Linked DNA regions of Lonchura striata. The protein of the gene in region 2 interacts with the protein of the main gene of each other region in a biochemical or structural test. Links are inferred from orthologs where the notes say so. Each region holds a gene or a part of one and is shown on either strand. Other genes may lie near its edges.

Evidence for each region.
Region 1: the proteins of CDC27 (region 2) and PTTG1 form a complex in vitro, tested with the Homo sapiens proteins (3 studies listed by BioGRID). The link is inferred for Lonchura striata from reciprocal best matches to the Homo sapiens genes CDC27 and PTTG1.
Region 3: the proteins of CDC27 (region 2) and ANAPC4 form a complex in vitro, tested with the Homo sapiens proteins (2 studies listed by BioGRID). The link is inferred for Lonchura striata from reciprocal best matches to the Homo sapiens genes CDC27 and ANAPC4.

The regions. Positions count from the first base shown.
Region 1 is NC_134617.1:10,964,818-10,972,224, forward strand, and holds the start of PTTG1 (securin), read left to right. Parts: upstream 1-4,389; 5' UTR 4,390-4,513; intron 4,514-5,240; 5' UTR 5,241-5,261; coding exon 5,262-5,343; intron 5,344-5,641; coding exon 5,642-5,820; intron 5,821-6,632; coding exon 6,633-6,711; intron 6,712-7,369; coding exon 7,370-7,407. Other genes in the region: pre-mRNA-splicing factor SLU7, read right to left, coding at 1,357-1,422, 1,568-1,732, 2,269-2,349, 2,952-3,105, 3,713-3,876. UniProt on the Homo sapiens protein: Regulatory protein, which plays a central role in chromosome stability, in the p53/TP53 pathway, and DNA repair. Probably acts by blocking the action of key proteins.
Region 2 is NC_134627.1:8,879,634-8,886,640, reverse strand, and holds the start of CDC27 (cell division cycle protein 27 homolog), read left to right. Parts: upstream 1-4,006; 5' UTR 4,007-4,205; coding exon 4,206-4,232; intron 4,233-7,007. UniProt on the Homo sapiens protein: Component of the anaphase promoting complex/cyclosome (APC/C), a cell cycle-regulated E3 ubiquitin ligase that controls progression through mitosis and the G1 phase of the cell cycle.
Region 3 is NC_134606.1:18,430,993-18,437,919, reverse strand, and holds the start of ANAPC4 (anaphase-promoting complex subunit 4), read right to left. Parts: upstream 3,065-6,927; 5' UTR 2,985-3,064; coding exon 2,877-2,984; intron 2,300-2,876; coding exon 2,194-2,299; intron 2,186-2,193; exon of another isoform or gene 2,064-2,185; intron 1,316-2,063; coding exon 1,183-1,315; intron 1-1,182. UniProt on the Homo sapiens protein: Component of the anaphase promoting complex/cyclosome (APC/C), a cell cycle-regulated E3 ubiquitin ligase that controls progression through mitosis and the G1 phase of the cell cycle.

The DNA.
Region 1 (7,407 bases), on a different chromosome or scaffold from region 2:
CTGCAGCAAACAAAGAGCACATCAGCAGAGAAGACAAGATAGTGGAAAAAAAAGCAAGATGGCAGGGACACAAAGGGCAATCAAAGCAGAGCTTCATGCAGGATACAAAACACAATTTACCATTGGCCCCAAATGCAGAAACACTGCTACATAATATTCTAGAAGAATGCTCTTAGCTTTCTCTGTGACAGACACACATTGGAGAACTGCTCACTGTATCCCCAACAAAATTTCCAATTCTTTGAAAGAACAGCAAATTCTAAAACTGTTGCTGTTATTTAGAGCTTGCCATGCCTTTGAACACTGAAGATTTAGACTGCAACATCTCATATAATGTAAATATAACCAAGTTGCAACTCTAAAAGCTTAAAAAAGAATTAAGGAGATATTTATTCAGGAATTTAGTTAGGATTTACAGGAACACTAAGCACAAAAGGCAGAATTCAAGTTTGACAAACACAGCCAGATTTTTTTAACCTGCTTAGTCTTTAACTGAAAAATACTTGCAGCAGTAAAGATGGGAATAACTGTGAGCCCTGGAACACAGACCAGCAACTGGCCAGCACTGACTATGCAAATCTCTCAGTCCTCTCTCTCAGAGGCAGTTCTTAAATTTCAAACACACTTTTCTTCTTTCAGTTCCATTTTATAAGCAATAAGTATACAGAAGCCAACAGTGTTTGCTTCATAGAATGGGCAAGAAAAGAGGAAGAATCTTCTGCTGGGGAGGTCTGTAAAAAGCACTGTAGTCTGGGCTGGGTGGCAGATCGAGCTCGCTGTGCCATCTAGTGACAACCCACGAGGGGACAGCACAGCCTCTGCAAGGAGGCTTTAAAAAACCTATTTCTGACCAGTAGAAGTCTCTGTTTTTTTCCCCATTTCGTAAGTCACTGAGCAGTGATTTTATCTTAAACTAATTTGCTTCTTCTTAAGGAAACATCTTCTGTTCCAAATTATATTAAACATTACTAAACCAATGCACAGTCATCACCTCAGTACTAGTCAGACTTTATCTTTAAATAGGAGAAGAGCATTTTGGTATATGAAAAAAATTACTACATGGAAAACAAGCTCTTCTGACCCAAAATTCCATGTCAATAATTTCAGCAACAATAATAATCACACAGAATTTCAGTCTGTAATTGGAACACAAAGCAATTCTCACTTCAAAAAGATGCTTCAAGTTTTTGAGTGTGACACAGAACGTGCTGGTGTGTTAGGAAAACCTTTAAATTACGGGAGGGTATAACACCCAACAACAGACCCTGTATAGAGAGTTAAAGAGTCAGAAAGCATCAGTAATCTGTTTTATATTTATTCAGCCTAAGGAAAAACATATTACCTAAGTTGACTTACCACTTGCTCCAGCTTCCCTGATGCCAACTCCTCCTGAAGCTTCTGGGCTTTCAGTGTGCGTTTGGCCTGTGCAGCAAAAGAATGCATTTATTTAAATATTTCTCCCTAGCACCACTCTAATATCAGCAGAACACATTACAAGTGTCCCTCCTCCCAGCCCAGCCACACCAAACACTAACTCTCTCCCCAGTAAATCACAGCCCCTACGTACCAGATCAACCTTGGAGTACTCCTCTACGATCTTCATGTGCTCCTCTGGGTTATAACCATTCCACCGGTCTCGCTTCCCATCGTAATCAAACATCAGCTGAGGCTGCACGTGTTCATCTGGGGCAATATTCATGCCTGTGTATTTTGCTCCAACTTTCCTGGGCCTCTGAAAGAAAAAAAAAAAGATATATCAGTCTGTTAGGTTACTCACTCACATATCCTTTTAAAAATATTATCAATCAAGATCCTCTAAAGCAAACTAAATTCAGCACTGTAAGGCTGTGGACTGTAAATTAATGCAAGTAGTTCTGCATGTTTATGTAGCACAGCTGACTTCAAACTCCATAAATTCTTATTTCTATTTTCTACAATTAAGGAAGTAATTAAAACAGTTTCTGGGAGTGGCTTCTACCGGAGATGAAGCAGGAAGACAGACACAACAGCACGAGTTAATGCAATTAACAAGAAAATAACATTTTCATCTATTATTTCAGATCCTATTACAAATGGAATTGATGGATGACAGAATTCTACTTTTCATTAATAATTTCTTTAGAAATTTCTAGGCCATCTCTCACTACTTGTAACATTTTTCAAAACAGCTTTTCCAAACCCAGTATTTCATCTGCAGCCAGCTGACTTCACAAAGATTAAATTCCCGTGGCATTCACAGCCATAAGACAGGGCTAGGAGTGGCTTTACCTCCATGCAGTCCTTCTTCTTGTGTGTCAGGGCGCCGCAGTTCTCGCAGGCTCCTTTGCGGTACCTCGTGGCCACGGCGTGCTGGGGGCAAGCACAGCGTCAGCCCTGGGACAGCTCACAAGGGATCCCAAAAACACCTCCAGGAGTGAGTGCCCTCCCCAAAGCCCAAACAGCTGTTCTGCCTGCTGAATAAAAACTCCTGCCCCCCTCAGAAACACATAACCAGGAATCTCCTCGTGTAATAGACCCAAATCCGTATTTCATGAGAGAAGCGCTTTGCACACGTGTGTAAGTACATTTCTCTCCCTCTTAGGGTTTTTTATAGAGGTGTACAGAGAGAAATGAAAGAGAAAATAATTTCTATTTCTGCTTCTTATTTTTCCTATACAGAATGTGTTTAGAGAATTACTTACCTAGAGTGAGTGCTTAATTAAATTCTAGTGAGGCTTGTTTGAGCCTGATGGCCAATCCAATCCACCTGTGTCTAAACTCTCTCTCATCACAAGGTGTGTAAGAGTTATAAATAAAGTCAGAAAAAATAGTATGTAGTTTTAATATCCTCCTTTATACAGTATATTAATGTATTTTAGCATAGTTATAATACAGAAATAATTCAGCCTTCTAAATTAAGTCAAACATTGTCATTTCTTCCCATTAAGTTTGGCTACATTTACAATATGTACCTCCTGAACGCCTCGTTTGTACCAATCTCCAGAGGAGTTATACTGCTTCTGCTTCTCTGGCTGAGGTCTCTGATGCTTTAGTGTGGGTCTCTTGGAAGGATCTATGTACCATGGCACTGAGGAGATGTACTGAGGAATATGAGGGTTGATATCTCTGCAAAAGATGTTGCGCAGTCAACACACGGCATGGGGAAAAAGCCCAAAATAACTCATTCTAATGAACAACATTCACGTTAAAGCACAAGTGATAATAAATAATGAAGCTGGTACAAAGCACCACAAAATAAATTCTCAGTTTAATAAACACAGACTTTGAGGCTTTGTTGCCACCGAATTCACCTAAACTCCTGACTCCAAATCAAATGGCTTATTCTGTGTAGTGTTACTGAGCAAAAAAAAAAAGCAACACTGCTCAGAAGCAACAAGCCCTGCAAAAACAAGGGAGAGGCAACAGATGAGCTACAGTGTAAAAGACTCCTGTGCTATGTCTTGCTCACTTTTGAAATACCCCGTGCTATTACCTTCATGGATGGGACTTTTTAGTAGAACTGTCAGCAGCTGACAGAAAATAAACATTGAACCTACATTTTTCTATAAAAAATCGTATGACTGGAACATTAAAATACAAAGTTCAACTATTTACTTCTACAGGACCTCACACTGAAATCATGTGTCACCCTCACAATTGTTCTTTAACCACAACAAGAAAAGAGATTTTTCCTCAGCCACTTTACAATAAGCACAGCTTTAGCAAAACATACTTTCCTTCTTCATCCACTTCAGCAGGTGCATTCCCCAGTTTTCTCTGTTCTTCTAATTCTTTCTTTTTCCTCCAATCTTCCCTTGTCATCTTCTTTGGCTCCTCCAGGCTCACATCAGTTGCCCCCCCTGCAGGAGGGGCGTTTGCTACCGCACCTGAGGCCATTCTGGCTTTTTTCCTTAGGAAAAAATAAAAATAGAAGACAAAAGAAAAGCGTTACTCATCAATACCCTCTGACATCACAGCTCTTCAACGCGATTTTGTGTCACGGAAATGAGCTAACCCGAATTATGCATTTCTGACATACCTCTGTGCTGGAAAACGAGCCCCACTGCAGAAACACAGAATTACCTCACTGCTAACCCGGACCCGGACCTGCCCTAGCCCGGCAGGGAGGCGAGAGAGCGACCGGGGGCAGCGGCGCCAGGCCCGGGCCGGCAGCGCTCGCTCGGAGCCCCGAGCCGCGCTCTCAGGGTCCAGGTCCCGGTCCCTTTCCCAGTCTCGGTTCCCGATCCCAATCTCGGTTCCCGGTCTCGGTTCCCGGTCCCGGTCCGTCCCCCCAGCCCTGTTTACCTGCCAGGCCGCTGCGCCGTCCCACAATGCCCCGCGGCCCCGCTCACTTCCGGGGCGGACCCACCTCCCGGAACTCGCGTGCAGCGGCGCGCGAGCGGCGCGCGCAGCCAATCGGCTGCCGCGCGTGGGTCGAAGCGGCCAATGGGCGGCTGCGGGCCGGTTTAAAAGACGGCGCCGTTGGGTGTAGGAGCGCCCTGACTGAGCTTTGCCGGTGGTGCTGCTTGCTGAGGTGAGCTCGGGCTTCGGCACCGTGAATCTTGCCTTCCGCTTCAGGCTGTACAAAGGGAAAGAGTTCCGCACAGAAAAAGGCAGGGAAGCTGGGGAAGGGTTTGGAGCGCAGGTGTGATTTTGGAGTTGCTGGGAGCGTGCTCAGCTGAAGGAGAGGAAGCTTAGGCGAGGCTTTGTTGCTCGCTACAATCACCTGAAAGCAGGTTGTAGCCAGGTGGATGGAGATCGGTGTGTTCTCTTAGGCAACCAGCAACAGGACAAAAAGAAATGGCATCAAAGTGTCTGTGGGGGATTTGAGCTGGCCATGAGGAAGAATTCCTGACAGAAAGGGTGGTTAGACATTAGAAAGGGCTGCCAGGAGAGGTGGTGCAGTCATTGTAGAGGTGTTTAAGGAAAAGCTGGATGTGGCACCCAGTTGCGTGGCTGTATTTAGGTTGGACTCGATTATTCAGAGATCCTTTCCAGCCTCACTAACTGTGACTGAGTTTTCTTGCAGATGTCTTTAATGAGGAATTGCTTGTTCACCTGGGTAATGGTAGTGATGAGCCCTAACAGTGCCTTCAAACCTGAGAGTCTTTAGCTGAACTGCTCTATAACGGTGGGAAGTAGGGGTTTGTTCCCCTTGTCTAGAGATTAGTATGTGATAGCTGTTATTTTTAATGGGGCTTGCTTAAAAATGTGGTGCGATGAGACAAATGACAAAAGTGCTTTCCCTTTTTCCTCTGCAGAGTAATCACATCAATCTGAAGATGGCAACTCTGATCTTTGTTGACCAGGAGAATAGTGAACTTCATGCTCCCAAGAGTCAGCTGAAGCTCCCTTCAGGATCTTGTGCGTATTTGCTGCCCTGAGCCAGTAGGGATCAAGTGAAGGGCATAAATCAGTTTTAGTCACTGCTTTTAATGGTAATAGTTTCCTATTCATAAATCCACTTACCTGACCAATTCTTCTGAGGTCATCAGTTGGTATAAAATTGACGATAACTCTGTGCTTTTGTCATAAGTGTGGCTTATGAGTTATAGATGGTGAACAGTGCTTTCTATGACAGCTACTTTGCCAGCATGTGCACTTACTTTGCCAAGCTTTAGGGTTGATGATGTTTGCTTTTTTCCTTTCTCCCCCATTCCAGCAAAAGCCTTAGCTGAAAGAACACAAGTTAACACTCCACTTCCTAAAAAAGCAATCAGTACTTCTCCAGTCACATCTCGCTCTGTCAGAAAGGCTCTTGGAAATGTGAATAAAACTGAAGTCGTCACAAGCAAGACAGATAAGTTAAAACAGAAAAATCAGCCTTGCACTGTGAACAAAGTGAGTACAACACACTTATGCTGGGAAGGAGGGGAAGTCCATAATTTACTTGCTGTTGAGGCTTAACTCTAACATAATTAAGCACCACACAGATGTTCCCTTAGTCCCTCTTTGATGGGATAGGGGGTGAGACTTGGAAGGGTTAATGTGAGAAAAATAATAGGCTAAAGTTAAGTCAATTTAATAAATAAAAATCTTGAAAAACAAAACCAATTCCTTGCCACCAGCTGACTAATGCCTTGCCAGTCCCAGAGCAGTGTCAGCCCTGCTCTCCCACCACTTTTCCTTGCTGAGATGCTATGCAGTATGGGGCATCCCTCTGGGCAGCTGGGGTCAGCTCTCCTGGCTGTGTACCCCCAGCCTCCTCACTGCTGGGGTTGTGAGAAGCAGAGAAGGCCTGGACTGTGCAAACACTGCCTGGCAATAGCTGAAAGAGCAGTTTTCATCATGAATCCAAAACATGGTTCATAAAAATTGCTAGGAGGAAAAATAACTCTCTCCGACTTAGAAGCAGGGCATCTGTGTAGAGGCTTATAGAGAAAATAGTCTGAGCTAATGTCTTATCAACATCTTAAGAGTCAGCTGTTCTAGGGCAGTCATCTCTTGCCACCATATATAGTACTGCACTGCATAAACTCAGCTGAAATGTTTGCCCATCTTATTTGTGTTGAAGGCATTAGAATTTAGGCCTGACTGAGAAAAGTATGGCAGGTATATTGTCTGTAGACCTGAATAGCATAAGAAAGCCACTACAAATATTTTACAGTAGCTCAAATTATGTTACTTCCTCTCTTTTTATGACAAACAAAAAGACTGGATTTGAAAGCTGCCATACAGTGGTTGAAGAAGATTGGCCAGAAATAGAAAATATGTTTCCTTTGGATCCTCAAGGTAAGAACTATTGATGTAATTAAAATTAGCAAGAAGGCTTTAATGAGTTGTGGCATTGTAAGAATTTGTCCAAGCTACTGTGGCACACAAGCCAGCATTGCATTTCTTCTGAGTCCTTTCTGAAACATGAGGGTGCTTGTTGCTTCTGAAATGCTTTAACAGGAATGAGCTGGTATTTCTAACTGTAATGGCTGTGCCTCAGATGTGTTACTCTGAGTCTCTTATTGTGGTGACAAGATACAGAAAAGTCTACCAAGATTTGTAATTGAAGAGATTCCTACTGCTCTAGGATATAATAGTTGAAGATTAAACTTCTAAAGCTGTTCTTAAGTCATCCCATTTCAGATTTCTCAGTCCTTCAAAGTGTCCTTAAAGCTTTCCTCTTAATGTGGATGTGTGTGAAAACCACTGTGCCAAAGATGAAATGTACATGCTTTGTTTGCTGAAGTTACTGCTTTACAGTGGCAAGTCTATTAGGCAGTCTAGTGTTTTTATCAGGGTTGGTGTATGGGATTTCATGGACAACTGAAAGGTGTAGCTGCAAGTAAATATCCCATAAGAGGAGACTGTGTTGTTTTAGATTGGCTCCTATTTAATTTAGTCTAGAAGAGTTTGCAGTTCCCAGGCTACAGCACACTTAACAGTCTTTCTTAAACAGACTTTGAGAGTTTTGATCTTCCTGAAGAGCACAAACTA
Region 2 (7,007 bases):
TTCCTAAAGATCTGCCTGAGGAAAACAGAGAAACATTGCCAAGGGGATCAGGTTAAGTTTCTTTGAGGTTGAATTATCCCTCTAAAATGTATTAAATTGAAAAGAAAATCCAAATTGCTGCCTGGCCCCAGCTTCCCCGCCAATTTCTTATTATTTCATTATCTATTTACTTTTCTAAACATTTCTCCTATCCCTCAGCTATGTAAAAGGCATGAGGCTGGGGGGGTGGGGCAGGGGGGGAAGTAAAAATGACCTCCAGATAGTGCTAAATACAGAAATTAAACATTTAAAAATCTCTTCCCTCACAAAATCTCTTTCAGCATCAGAAGGTTAAAATGCAGACAGACGGAAGTCTGAACTTTGAATGCTCAGCATCCTTTTTATCTCCTTTTTAATCCATTTCTTTCTGGTTCCTGTTCATCAGCTCAGCAACATAGATGGTTGGGTGGCAAAGTCTGACAGAAGATTTAATTCTTCATATAACTATTTGCATATAAAGCTCTTTTAAATGGTGTTGAATTACAGCTTTTGACATTTTGGGTTCATCTGAGAAAGAGTATTCTGAATGCTCTCATCCCAAAGATTCTTTGCATTCAGACCTCCCCACTTATCTCCCAGGCTCTCAGAAATGCTTGGACCCACCTGAGCACCATGAAGAGCAAGACTCCTCCATGCATGTCCTTTCCCTGGGATGTTTTGCCTAAAGCAAAACACACACCACGTGTGTGTACCTGAGCCTGGTACTCAGTGCATCTGCAACTAGGTTTTAAACCTCAAGTTACTCTTTTCAGGTTTTCTCTGTGACATTTGTCTCATTAAATTTTATTCCTTTCTCCCTTAAATGGTTTGTCTGCCTTGGCTTGGGGCTACTTGTTGATACGGTGGGTGGAGGAGACCCCTTGGTCTCCACCAGCTCTCAGAGGTAACAGGGTATTTCCACGGAGAGGGGGAAAAGGCAGGGAATGAAAAGGAAGAGTTCAGACTTGTAAGTGAGGATCATCAATGCACTGCTTGTCCCAGTCAGGAAAGACCCTTAAAACCCCCAAAACATCAGAAAAGCATGAAAAACATTCTTTGTTCTGTATCAATGAGACATCCAAAAGTCTAGTTTTGAAGGTTTTCAGCAAGTTGACTCCTGCTGAATCAGCAAGGGAGAAGAAAAATGGGGAAAGAAGAGATCCAGGCCCAGCCAAACTGGGCCAGGTCCACCCTCATGGCATGGGGTGAGGGCCCATGGGCTGTGGGTAATGTCCTGCCTGGGATGGGCTCCCTGGACAGTTCTTCTCCAGGCAGATGGTTCCAGCCAGGAGCTCTCAGGGGGCTGTGTGATACAAGCTGGTGGCTCTCTCCCTCTTCCTACCTGCAAAGCAATCTTCAGAGCATCACCACAAGCAGTGAATAATTCATGACACATAACTCAGCCTTCCCATCAGCAGAACACCTGGGAGCAGCAAACACTTTCCTTTGATTTGTTCCTTATTCCAATGTCCTCACTCTGTCTTTGACTAGAAATCGAAGGCATTTTGCTCTGACATGTTGACTTTGCTCGTTCCTGTGCAGTGGCTGAGTAACAGCTGCTTTCAATTCCCACTGTTTGATTCTACTGCTCATAAAAAGCAACACAAGCTGTTTATAGATGCAAGATTAGATTTGAGCAGCTCTTTGTGCTATTCCTACAGCTTCCATTGGGCAGGATCTGGGCACCTCATGTTTTTAATGCACTCTGTGCTTTAACCTCCTAGAGGACCGTGGTGATGGGGCCAGAAGGAAGCCTGCTTGCTGCACGCTCCAGGGTCACGTCTGTCCCTGTCACTGCTGTGGCACTGACTCCTGCAGCAGAACGTGCTGTGGTAGAGAGGAACTGAGCAGAGGAGAGGTGGAAATCCACAGCAGGGACTGGGGGCCCTGGAGCTGCGATATCCCTGCTATAGCAATGATATCCCTGCTGTAGCCACAATATTCAACCATATCCTACTAGCCTTGATATCCCTGCTAGGCGTGATATTCCCGCTACAGCTGTGATACCCCTGCCCTGCAAGCCAAGAGGCTGCACTCTCACTCCTCTGTGCAAACCTTGTGTTTGAGCCCCCAGCTTCCATGGTGAAAGCAGTAACACTGAATTAAAACCAAAGTGAGACCTGCAAAGAGACAGGAAGCAAGCAGTGGGAAATGACAGAACTACAGGAAAAGAGGGAAGAGCCAGCCACACTTTAGGGATCTGTTGTGTCTCTTTATAAAGCAGAGCTGGCTTAGCAAAGCAGGCTGGAATGATGCACTTGAACAGGCTCAGTGTGTACGTCTGTACCTCTGCTTGTGCCTCCATGCCTCTTCCCCTGGCAAGGCTGCTCCCCTCCTCTGGAAAAGCTGAGGATTCCACAGAGAAAGCAGCTTTAGTCCCATGGACATTTATAAAAGCATCTGTGGGTGCCAGCGAGTGACCCCACAGGCAGAACTGCACTGTAGGACTGAGGAGTCTCTGTAAATCCAAATCTCCAAAGACAACAGCAAATGCTGACCTTTTACAGTTTGGATGTTTTACATGAATTCCAGGGGACTCTGAGGAGAGGTACAAGGAGCCCCCACGCTCTGGAGAGCCTGTATCTCCTCAGGCTTGATAAGACAGCTTCTCATACCAAAGAAGGTCTGGATGTCAGTTCTGTGCCCTGGGGAATGGGAGAGACAGATGGAGCCAGCTTTCATCCCCAGGAGGAGTTATCTGTAGTGCATGAGATCAGGAGGAGGGTGAATATGGACTGTGCTCCTTGAAAAGCTCCTTCCTGGAGCCCCAGACCACGTCACACACCACCATCATCACCATCAGCAAGTGAGGCCAAAGGCCTTCAGAGGAGGAGACACTTCATGTTGCTGTCACCCTCCTTTTGTCTGGCAAAATGACTTGGATCGACCTGATTAGGAAACCAGGTGTCCATCCCAGGGGACAGCACTACCCTGCAGTTAAAATTTATTTGTCTCAGGTGAAGGATTGAAGAAAGCTTTGCCTGCTCACACCCTGAGCGCAAACACCCGCAGATCTGCTGCCAATACCAAATGTGTAAGTACACCTTCCAGAAGTGCAGGGGAAGAGGGCAGGCTGACCCCTCCTGCTCCACACACAGCTTTTGTTCTCAAATAAAGATACAGCCCCTGCCCACGCGTGTTCGGCAGCACATCAGGATCTGACCAAAGCCCTGAGCAGAGTCTGAGTTAGGTGTGTGTGCATCGGGGTTACGGCAAGCCCACAGCAGGATTTGGACAAGGAAGGCCTCTGCTAGCTGCAGGCAGCTATTGATAGGTCAGTATATTTAATAAATTGGGGTTTACTTGTACATCTTTATTCCATTATTTTGCTAAAGCTTTGTGTGTCAGATACTGTAACGGGCAAATTACCTGCTTTGTGGTCTGCCAGTTTTACTCCTGGATATGAGGACATCGGGAGGAATTTCTTCACAGAATGTTGTTAAACACTGGAAGGGGCTGCCCAGGGAGATGTCCAAGGAACGACGGGAGGGGCACTCAGTGCTCTGGCCTATGGCCAAGGCGGCTCGATGGTTTGGGAGGTGTTTCTCAACATGACCCTGCGATTTCTGATACCGCGGCTGGACGCACCGCGGAGCCCCTCAGCACGGAGCCCTCGGGGACAGAGCCGGGCCGCGCTGGACCCGACACGGGGAGCGGGGACACGGGAGCCGCTGGCCAAACCACGCGCACCCCGGGAGACGCAGGGGTTCGCGACAGAGCTGGGCATCCCCCGAGCCCACCCTGCGGCACCAAGTGCAAGTTCTGCGGGCCACGGGCGCTCCGGGGGACGCGCCACACGCTCGTCCCTCTCCGCTCGGCTCGGCCATCTCCGGCTCGGCTCGGCCATCTCCGCCCCACTTCGGCCATCTCCGCCCCACTTCGGCCATCTCCGGCTCGAGCAGTTTCCTCCCGGCTGCCGAGCGCGCCTTTCCCAGCTGTTTTCCGTCGACGCTCGGCTCTTTCCGCCTCCGCCTTCGGGTATTTCCGGCGGGCGGTTCGGCTATTTCCGCCGCCGGTTCGGGCGGACTCGGCGCCCGCCGGCCTCGCTCGCTCCGGTAACGGTCGGTGCGGGTTCAAATGAGCCGCGGTCGGGCCGGGCCCCGCCGTGACTCGCTCTGAGCCGGGCCGGCACCGGGGCCGCCCCGCTCGGGCTCGGCGACCAGGAGGCGGAGGCCGGGGAGAGCAGGATGACGGTGCTGCAGGAACCCGTCCAGGTACCGACCCCCGGGCGGCTCAGGCCCCAAAGCCTGGCCCGGCCCGGGTTAGGCCGCTCCGGGGCCGGGGCTCCGGGCCGCTCCCGGAGGCCCCTCGGCCGGTGGGCCCGCTGGAGCTGCAGCTCCTCCGCCCTCCTCCTGCCGGAGCCCGCCGAGCTTCCCCTTCCAGCCTCCCTGCCGTCCCCGGGCCGGCCGCGCTCGCCCCTTTGCCCCCGGGGCCCCGGGGGGAGGTGCCGGGGTCCCCGCCGCTCCTCCGCCGACCCGGCTCCGGGAAAGGGCCCCGCCGATCCCCCGGGAGACCTGTTGATACTTCGCTCACCTTTCTGCGTGTGCTGCCGTGTCGTGTTTAAATGCTCGCAGCGTGCTCGGATCCCTCTGTGTCGTGCGAGTGAAGGACGTTCCTTCTGCCCAAGGAGTTGGATTTTTCGGATTAATGGGAGATCTAGGAGAGAAAATAATGCAAATTTCATTTTTCTCTCGTGTTTCAGTCTCACTGCAGTTACTGTGATGGGTTTCCTGTTCTTGAGCTCAGCCTTCCCATCCAAAAGTCGTGATTCACGGAATTAAAAGCTGCTTTTTCTTTCTGCAGTTCCTGTATGCCCATTCTCTAACTATTAATAATCTTCATTAATCAGTCATCTCATTCACATTCCCATTCTTTTTAAGTCTATTTTTAGCATTTTAGCAGGATGTTTTGGGCTTTTTTTCTAGTTCCTGGCAGCAGTGTCTTGTTGGAGTATGACTGTGTTCTGTGATGAACATAGTGAGAATTCTTGCTTTTGGCTCTTTTCTTTCTAATGAAAAGGTGGAAGGGGAGGAAAGGCTCCTGTGGCAAACCATCCTGCTGACTTGGCCCTGTCTGTGGCGGATGGTGACAATGAGGGCATTCTTGTAGACCAGGGGTTTGTGTCCTTGATGCCACCGCTCTCCTCATCCCCTCTGAGAGCAAGGGTCGTGCAGTGCTGGAAATGCTTTTGGCCACCTGGTCCCTCTCCTGCCGAGGCCATCCTACATCACTGGTGTCAGCTGTCGAGCTGGGCTGGTGGTTTTGCACCAGCTGGGCATTCTAGGAAAACATGGGATTAGAACAGAAAAGGAAGCAAGATCACACTGCAGCGTGAACGAGTGAAGCTGACAGGAAACAATACCAAATGTTTCCAGTGCTGTGCTAACTAGACTGACCAAGTGAAAATGTCCGCTCTCCTGAGTGCTCCCTGATAGAAATGTGGGGCCTTGTGGTAATTCAGCAAGGTGAAGACCGCTCTAATGCTCTGTTCTGCATCATTATGCATCCAAAACGTTCTCCATTCTTAACCTCTTCCCAGCTTGGATGTTTTGATGAGGCTTTGCTATGTTAATATATCTATTTAGATTCTGCTTTTAAATGACAGATCATTCCTTTAGCAGTAGTTCTGCTGCTGTCAGTTTTACTGCTGTTCCTTGCTTACAGGAGTTACTGGTAAGTTTAGGAATTATTTGTGACTGTGTGAAGTCCGTTGCATTTCTGAATTCCCAGTTTAGCTGAAGTCCACATACGTAGCTCTGTTTTTGTAATATTCTTAAATGAAGTGATTGGGAAAGTTGACACTAGTTCTGATTTTTGTCATTGCAGAGATTGTTCCTGTCTATTTGTCTGTTCTCTCCCAGCCTTTCAGATGTCTACAGGGCTCAGCATTCCAGGAAAGAACTGTCATCCTCACATCCTCACAGCTGTGATGTTACTTATTTGTCACAGCGTGACAGATAAATAACAGAATTTGTGTTTGTATGTAGCCTTAGAAATGTTGTGCTTCAATTACATGAAATTCATGCACCAGGAGGCATTCTGGCCACTGGTTAGGTTTTTGCTAACTTTTAAAATTCTTTTCAGTTGAAGAGAGTGCCAGAGTTTACAGCCCTGTGCTGTACTTCCGGATACGGTCAATTTAAAACCCTTCAGCTCCAACATAAATCCATGTGTCCCATGTGCTAAGAAACAGGCTGGATGCCTTCCAAATACTTCTGAAAAACATCTTGGAAAGAAAATGAGCACTTTGCTTGGAATTGAGCTGTTCAAGGTGATCATCTGCTGTGACTCACTGGAATGGTGCTTGAACTTGGCTGCAAACTGCAGGACCAACATGTTCAGTGGGCAGAGTTTGTGTAACTGGGGAATGCAGCACAGCCCATCCTGGAGCTTTCCTCCTCCCTGCCCACCCCGAAGACTGAAATCGTGGCAGAATCTGCTTAGCGTGGCAATATAGGCTAAACAGCTTGGAAAACAATTTCCAAGGTTGTATAACTGTCAGACGAGAACATCTCTTAAGAGCTATTTGGCTTAGATATGAAGTGACACTTGGACAATGCACAGGATTTTCTGGGTAGAAGATGGACCTTTCTGAATCTGATTTTATTTTCCTGCCCCCCTTTCTGAAGTTGCCTTGCTGCAGGGCTGTGTATGGTAGTTTTGGAATTCCCTGTTAATTTTGCATTTCAAATTAATTATTTTTTAAAAGAGTGATTAAGACCTGGAGGTTCATCCTCTCTGCAAGCACACTTGAATAAAATGTGGAAACACTTCCAACTTTTCTCATTCATATGAGGCAGCCCTGAGAACACTGTTCTGTGTGGTTTAGCAGTTGTGTACCACTAGTGCTGTGTATATGCATTGTGCTTCTTCTAGAATAAAATAAATTACTGTGCTATATTGAGATTAATGTTCCTGTCCTAGACGGTGGGCAAGAAATCCTCTTTTTTGAGACACAGTCATGGTTTAGGTATCTGTTCTCATGAACA
Region 3 (6,927 bases), on a different chromosome or scaffold from region 2:
ACCCAAGCTGTAAAAATGAGAAAATACTTTCTTTTCAGTTCCAGAGTTAAGAGTATATATTCAATGCATTATGTATATCAAAATTACAAATATCAGAGGATAATAATTTATGTGACCTTTAAAAATTTATCAAGTGATCAAATTAATAAAAGAACTGAAAATCTTTTTTTATTTCCAGTGAATAAAGTTTGTATTGGCTGGCTCAGAAGCTTGTCACCAAATTTTTCATTGCCTGTAAAGCAATTACTATCAGAGGTTTTCTGTTTAAACTCTCTCCAAACCTGCAGTACAACCTACCCACACCTCAAAACAGCTAAAGATACATTGCAGTAACAGGAAGATCAAAGCACAATACTTAATACCACATCTTGGATATATCAGAAGGTTGAGATTCCCCACAAAAAGCTAAGCCTATTCCCACCAGAAGAAGAATGTCAGTGTGGTTAAAGGCACAGCTATTTTCTTGCTATTTTAAATCTGATGCTTATGGCAGGTGAGGGGGGAAATCCTCAAATCAGGAGCTTACACCACCTGCCTCCTTTAAATAAGTGTTTTATTTAACATGTTCTTGCACTGCCATAAGGTGCACATCAGAGGCTTCCTTAAGACAACAGAAATAGGGACCATGATGTCCTCCAGGACACAAGTGCTGCTGAGACTTGTTCAATCACACAGAGTTCATGGTCACTAGAGATAATCTGACTTCCTGAACAGGATTGCCAATGAAATTGGATGTAACACCAAGGACAAAACACAAAAGACATAAACACCAAAATAAAAATCTTGAAAACACAGAATAAATATTTAAATATAATACCTATTCTGACTAACAAAAGAGATGAACATAACATTCTTATAATTAGTTTAATAAATTGATTGATATTGAAGCAAACTGGATCAGAAGACAGGCTGTACATGCTAACACTAGATTAAGCAGCTCTTAAGAAAGAGAAGCACAAAATCATGCACAAAATCACCCAAAGACCCACAAGACTAAGGTGTCAGCACTAAAAATAAGCATATGAAAAGTGTCTATTCTAAAAAGGAAAATTTAGTCAAGTTGTGAGAAAAACCCTCAGGTATGGAATACTGTATTATTTCATGTAACTGCTTGTAACATTAAGAATAAAAATTAACAGTAAGGTGGCATTACATAGCTCATGATTTACTTTTCAGACTCACCTGCTTTCCTCAGTTACTTCCATCCAATGCATGTATGTGATAGATAACTCCACAGAGAAGGAGTGCAAGCTTTCAGGCTTTTCTACATCACACAGAATAATCCGCTTGGTATCAGCAAGGCCAAAAGCCAAAACTAGAGAAAGACAAGTAAAATGTATAAATAACCAATGAGCAAAATGTCTATCTTACACTGACCTAGAACTGAACACGCTTCTAACACTTTTAACAATAGTTCTGATAAAGTAGAGGCTTCCAATTTTGCAAACTTGAGTCCAATATTATGTATAACATTGTCCACCAGAAAGATTTGGTGGACAAAAAACACAAATTAGAAGCTGAGCAACTTTTGTATCACTTTCTTCACTCATAATAGAGAATTGCAGGCAGAAGTTTCTCCATTTCCTTCCTTATAATCACAGGTAATCATCTTAAAAAGAAGTTTCTTAAACTCTTCAGATGCCTTCATAAAACAATATAGGTAGTTTTTATACATATGTCATGGAAGAATATTGTTCCCATCTCCCACCTCTAGTGAATCAAAAATTAACTGATTTCTAGCATAAGTTTATTAAGCTACTAATTTCAACATTATTTCTATTAATAAGGAAAAGGCTATGTTTTTCTTCTCTGGTCTATAATTAGAGTAATTTTAGCCTATGAAGTTTTGCCTATGTTAAGTAAGCTAAGCTTTTCAATCAATCCTGATCAAACAGCTTCTTTCCCTCCCAATAAACTTTGTAGTTCATACAAAATATCCTGCTTAATTAGGAGGTTGAAATTTTGCTATACCCTGAAAAGCAACATTTGGCATATAAATCTGAAATCTTTCTTGCAATTGCATTCAACAGTGTTAATATCTCTATTGCTGTGAATGAACCTACATAAAATTAAGCCACCCTTTTCTTCAAACACAGTTTACTTGAAAATTTCCTTCACAGATGAGAGGCATCATCATTCATGAGTTCCCATGGGGTTTTATTGCACCATATCATCTCATATACTTGACATTACTTTTGCCATCTGGTCTCCAAGCAAGAGCAGTCACTTCTTTTCCTGTATTTTCATTTGGAGGCAAACTCCAAACACGTTGAAAGTTTGCAAGCCGATGAAGTAAAACCTATAAAACGAATGCATGAAGACAAACTTAAACCATATTCTCCCATTAATAAAGTTAGTAAATCAGTTCAAGATGCACCTTTTTTACCCGTTTTTAACTCCTGTGTCTTAAACACCACCTGCTCCTCTAGCAGATGATTCACTCCTATATTCTTTTAGAGGGCAGCACATAGTTTATAGCAGAAGAGAGAAATAAGGTGCATAAGGATACAAGCTCCTAACCAACAGGGGTTACCCACCACCTCTCTAGCAGACAGCCCGAAAGCACAAGTCTTGTCTTCCTACATGATCATACACTGCAGTTCCACGGGAAAAAGTACTTAAAATTAGATTTAATTTAAATAGGCCCATCCATGCATTTAAAATCCTACAAACAACGAGCGCATCGTATATGAATTTGTTCGGAAATCAGAATGCAAAATATGAAGGAGCAGTAAGACGCTCGACTTAAAAAATTGCTGTCCTTAAATGCCTGTCGAGACTCACGAGAAACATGCTGCAAGTAACAGCAAAGGCATGCGGGCCTGCAGGGAGGGCAGCGCCGCTCCTCCCGAGCTCTCACCAGCAGCCGCACTCACCTCCCCCGCTCGGTTGGCCAGGGCGATCAGGTCCCTTTTGGGGGACCAGGCCATGAACACGACCTCCTGCGGCAGCTGCTTCTCGCCCACCTGCCTGAAGGCGGGCATGGCTGCGGGCTGCGCCGAGCCCGCCGGGCCTGCTCCGCTTCCGGGGCGGCGCTGCCCGCCGCGGCAAGGAGCGGGGCGGGGCTCGGAGCCGTGCGGGTTATCCCGGCAGCGGGGCGGGGCTCGGAGCCGTGCGGGTTATCCCGGCAGCGGGGCGGGGCTCGGAGCCGTGCGGGTTGTCCCGGCAGCGGGGCGGGGCTCGGAGCCGTGCGGGTTGTCCCGGCAGCGGGGCGGGATTTGGGAGCCGTGCGGGTTGTCCCGGCAGCGGGGCGGGATTTGGAGCCGTGCGGGAGATCCCGGCAGCGGGGCGGGATTTGGGAGCCGTGCGGGTTGTCCCGGCAGCGGGGCGGGATTTGGGAGCCGTGCGGGTTGTCCCGGCAGCGGGGCGGGGCTCGGAGCCGTGCGGGTTGTCCCGGCAGCGGGGCGGGGCTCGGAGCCGTGCGGGTTATCCCGGCAGCGGGGCGGGATTTGGAGCCGTGCGGGTTATCCCGGCAGCGGGGCGGGATTTGGAGCCGTGCGGGTTGTCCCGGCAGCGGGGCGGGATTTGGGAGCCGTGCGGTTTGTCCCGGCAGCGGGGCGGGGCTCGGAGCCGTGCGGGTTGTCCCGACAGCGGGGCGGGATTTGGGAGCCGTGCGGGTTGTCCCGGCAGCGGGGCGGGATTTGGAGCCGTGCGGGAGATCCCGGCAGCGGGGCGGGATTTGGGAGCCGTGCGGGAGATCCCGGCAGCGGGGCGGGATTTGGGAGCCGTGCGGGTTGTCCCGGCAGCGGGGCGGGGCTCGGAGCCGTGCGGGTTGTCCCGGCAGCGGGGCGGGGCTCGGAGCCGTGCGGGTTATCCCGGCAGCGGGGCGGGATTTGGAGCCGTGCGGGTTATCCCGGCAGCGGGGCGGGATTTGGAGCCGTGCGGGTTATCCCGGCAGCGGGGCGGGATTTGGGAGCCGTGCGGGTTGTCCCGGCAGCGGGGCGGGGCTCGGAGCCGTGCGGGTTGTCCCGGCAGCGGGGCGGGATTTGGGAGCCGTGCGGGTTATCCCGGCAGCGGGGCGGGGCTCGGAGCCGTGCGGGTTATCCCGGCAGCGGGGCGGGATTTGGAGCCGTGCGGGTTGTCCCGGCAGCGGGGCGGGATTTGGAGCCGTGCGGGTTGTCCCGGCAGCGGGGCGGGGCTCGGGAGCGGAGCCGCCGCAGCGCCGAGCCAGGGGAGGCTGGTCAGGCTCTTCCCGCTCTGCTTACTTACGACATACTGTTTAGTACTAAATATTTTTTTTTTGTAAACCCATTTTCCATTTGGAGAGAACGTTTTAAAAAATCACTGGCCATCCTGTGAGACGACTGTAATCAACAGAGACTGAATTCCTAGAACTCGTGCCTTCCCATCACCTACCCTCACTTTCTTCCTTGCCCCATGTCCTCCAACATAAAATCAGAGCAGTATCTCACCTCTCAGCAGTTAAGACCCTTAACGTCCAACACCCATCGAATTAGACAAATAGCTAATCCTAAATACAACATTATCACATTATACACACACATGACAAGGGCTGTGGTAGTTCACTTAGTTGTTTGTTGCTTTTTTTTTTTGTTTGGTATCAGTAATGATGATAAAGGAACTGTTAATTCCATCATGTTTTATTCTGGATGTTAGCACTTACATTTTTAGAAAATGGAACAAAAGGCTGTCAATAAAAAAAATAAATTAGCAACTATGTAGCAGCAAAAAGAGTCATGTCATTTTTTTCTTATTCTTTACTTTCCTCTTGGAGAATATGGCATATTTCATAGCTAATCTTTTAGAGATCCCCATTTTTACTCTCTTTCGAGTTTTCTGTCCTTTCTTTTTGTCAGGTCTGTAAAGGAAAAAAAGGAACACAGAGATTAGAATAAAATGAAGAACACACTTCTCTGTACAAATACATTTGCTGGTATTCTAAATAAGTATATTAATTATGTGGTAGTATGTGAAGTACATGGAACATTACCTGTCTCAAAATGTTATGGTCTTTCAAGTTCACAAAACTGTCCACTTTATTGCCATTATATATTCATTTTATGTATTTATTCAGCATTTAAATTTACACAGATACTGAAAACAAGAAACTCACTCATTGAGTACAAAAAAAGCACACACAGTTTCACGCTGAATATATACTGCATTAATATATAATAGAAAGACTTAGAAAAAAGTATGTGAAGTTTAACACCATTAGAAAGCATCCTGCAATTAGTACAAGACCTAAATACAACTAACAAGTGGATTGTTTTCTATCTCTGACAAAAGATGTCACAACACAAAATTCTGAGTAATTGTAACAAAACATACAACATTTTTATTCGAAAAAGAAATCTAAGCTATCTTCTGCAACGAGTCAGCAAAAGAACTAACTGATGGCCTAAAATATTAAAACCATTGCGGCACAACTGATAGAACAGTATCTTCCTTGACAGAAAAAACAGATGAGGTTTCATAAATTCTTTTAGCATCCTTTTTAATTTCTTTACCAAAGGAAAAAGAAACATTAAGAGACGCAATTTTTATGAGAGATATATAAAATGAAACATTGCTACGTTTTGTGTCTAATACTCCCTAAACAAAATCTGGTTTAGTGTCAGTAGGACATGAAGCAATACACCTGTACCCATCTGCTATCCAGCAGGCATCTGGTGAGTCCCTGGATACTGATTCAAGAGGGTAATGGTCTGAGTCTCACTGTGTAACACAGGTACAGCTTTTGGGAGGGAAAATTTGCCTTCCACTGCTACAGCCATTCAAGTCCAGAATCACAGAAAAACCCATTACTCTGGAAAGGAATTTATAGTAGTGCAATCAATTATCCTGAACTGGAAAGACTGAGCCATCTGCTGGATCATCTCTTAGCAAATCCGCTTTCCTCTTTTCAGTTAGTTCCATCTGAAGACAACCAAAAACCATTTACTTGGCTCTCTGATACATACAGGTATGCATACAGTGTTGTTCTGTATGTAACAAAAGGAAAATCATGGAAGACTAAAAGTACTCAATGTGACTCTTGGTGACTCTAATATATTGTGTCTGTTTTCTCTGCCATTGCATGAGGAACTCAAAGGGGATGAAAGTGTTCCATTACTTCAATTTTCAGTCACCTTGACAGAGTTCCATGCACCAGTCACCAAGTCTGAATCCATATAAATCAGTTTTGAAAGAAAACCCACAGACAGGGAATTGGAAGCCCCAGAAAGTGACCTGCCTTTTATCATACCCTCCCTTCAGTATATACTCCCCAACAGTCCAGCAAGTGAGCAATAGGGAAAGCTGACATCAGCACCTAAAGCAAAATATCATCTCCTTCTGAACTGATTCCGTGACATCTCATCTCATCTGAATGCTGTATGTTACTGTACTAATGCAATATGACACTTACTGACAAGCTGTTCTGGGGCGGGAGAGACTGGGACAGGCACTGCGCTTGTGACCTGCCTTGCCACAAACGAAACAGCCAATGTCAGTCTTCTCACAGCTGTGCTTTGGAAGAGCGCAGCACTTGCAATTGTTACAGTGAAACCAAGCTGCAAAATATATAACATTATTTATGATCTTGGAAAAGTTTAAATTGAACATTCTGAAACTAAGCTTTAAAGCCACATTACCAGGTTTTTAATTCTGGATTAGCTTTGCAGAGATAGCTGTAGTCACCTTCGGGACCCTTATCACATTACTGGACATATTGTGCAATTAAGTGTGAATTATTTTGCCATTAGAACTTTTATCCTATGTGTCATCTTCAAAAGAAAAACACTGCAGATGTTACAATGTATTTACAGATTTTGATTTTTGTAACAGTAACAAAGATAACTGCTTCAGCTATTTATACAGAGGCATAAATACAACTAAATTTGAGCATCAAACAATTTTACCATGATCTCTCAAACATTTTGTAATTCCCTACTTGTTTAGAAAATTCAAAGTTTAGAAAATTAG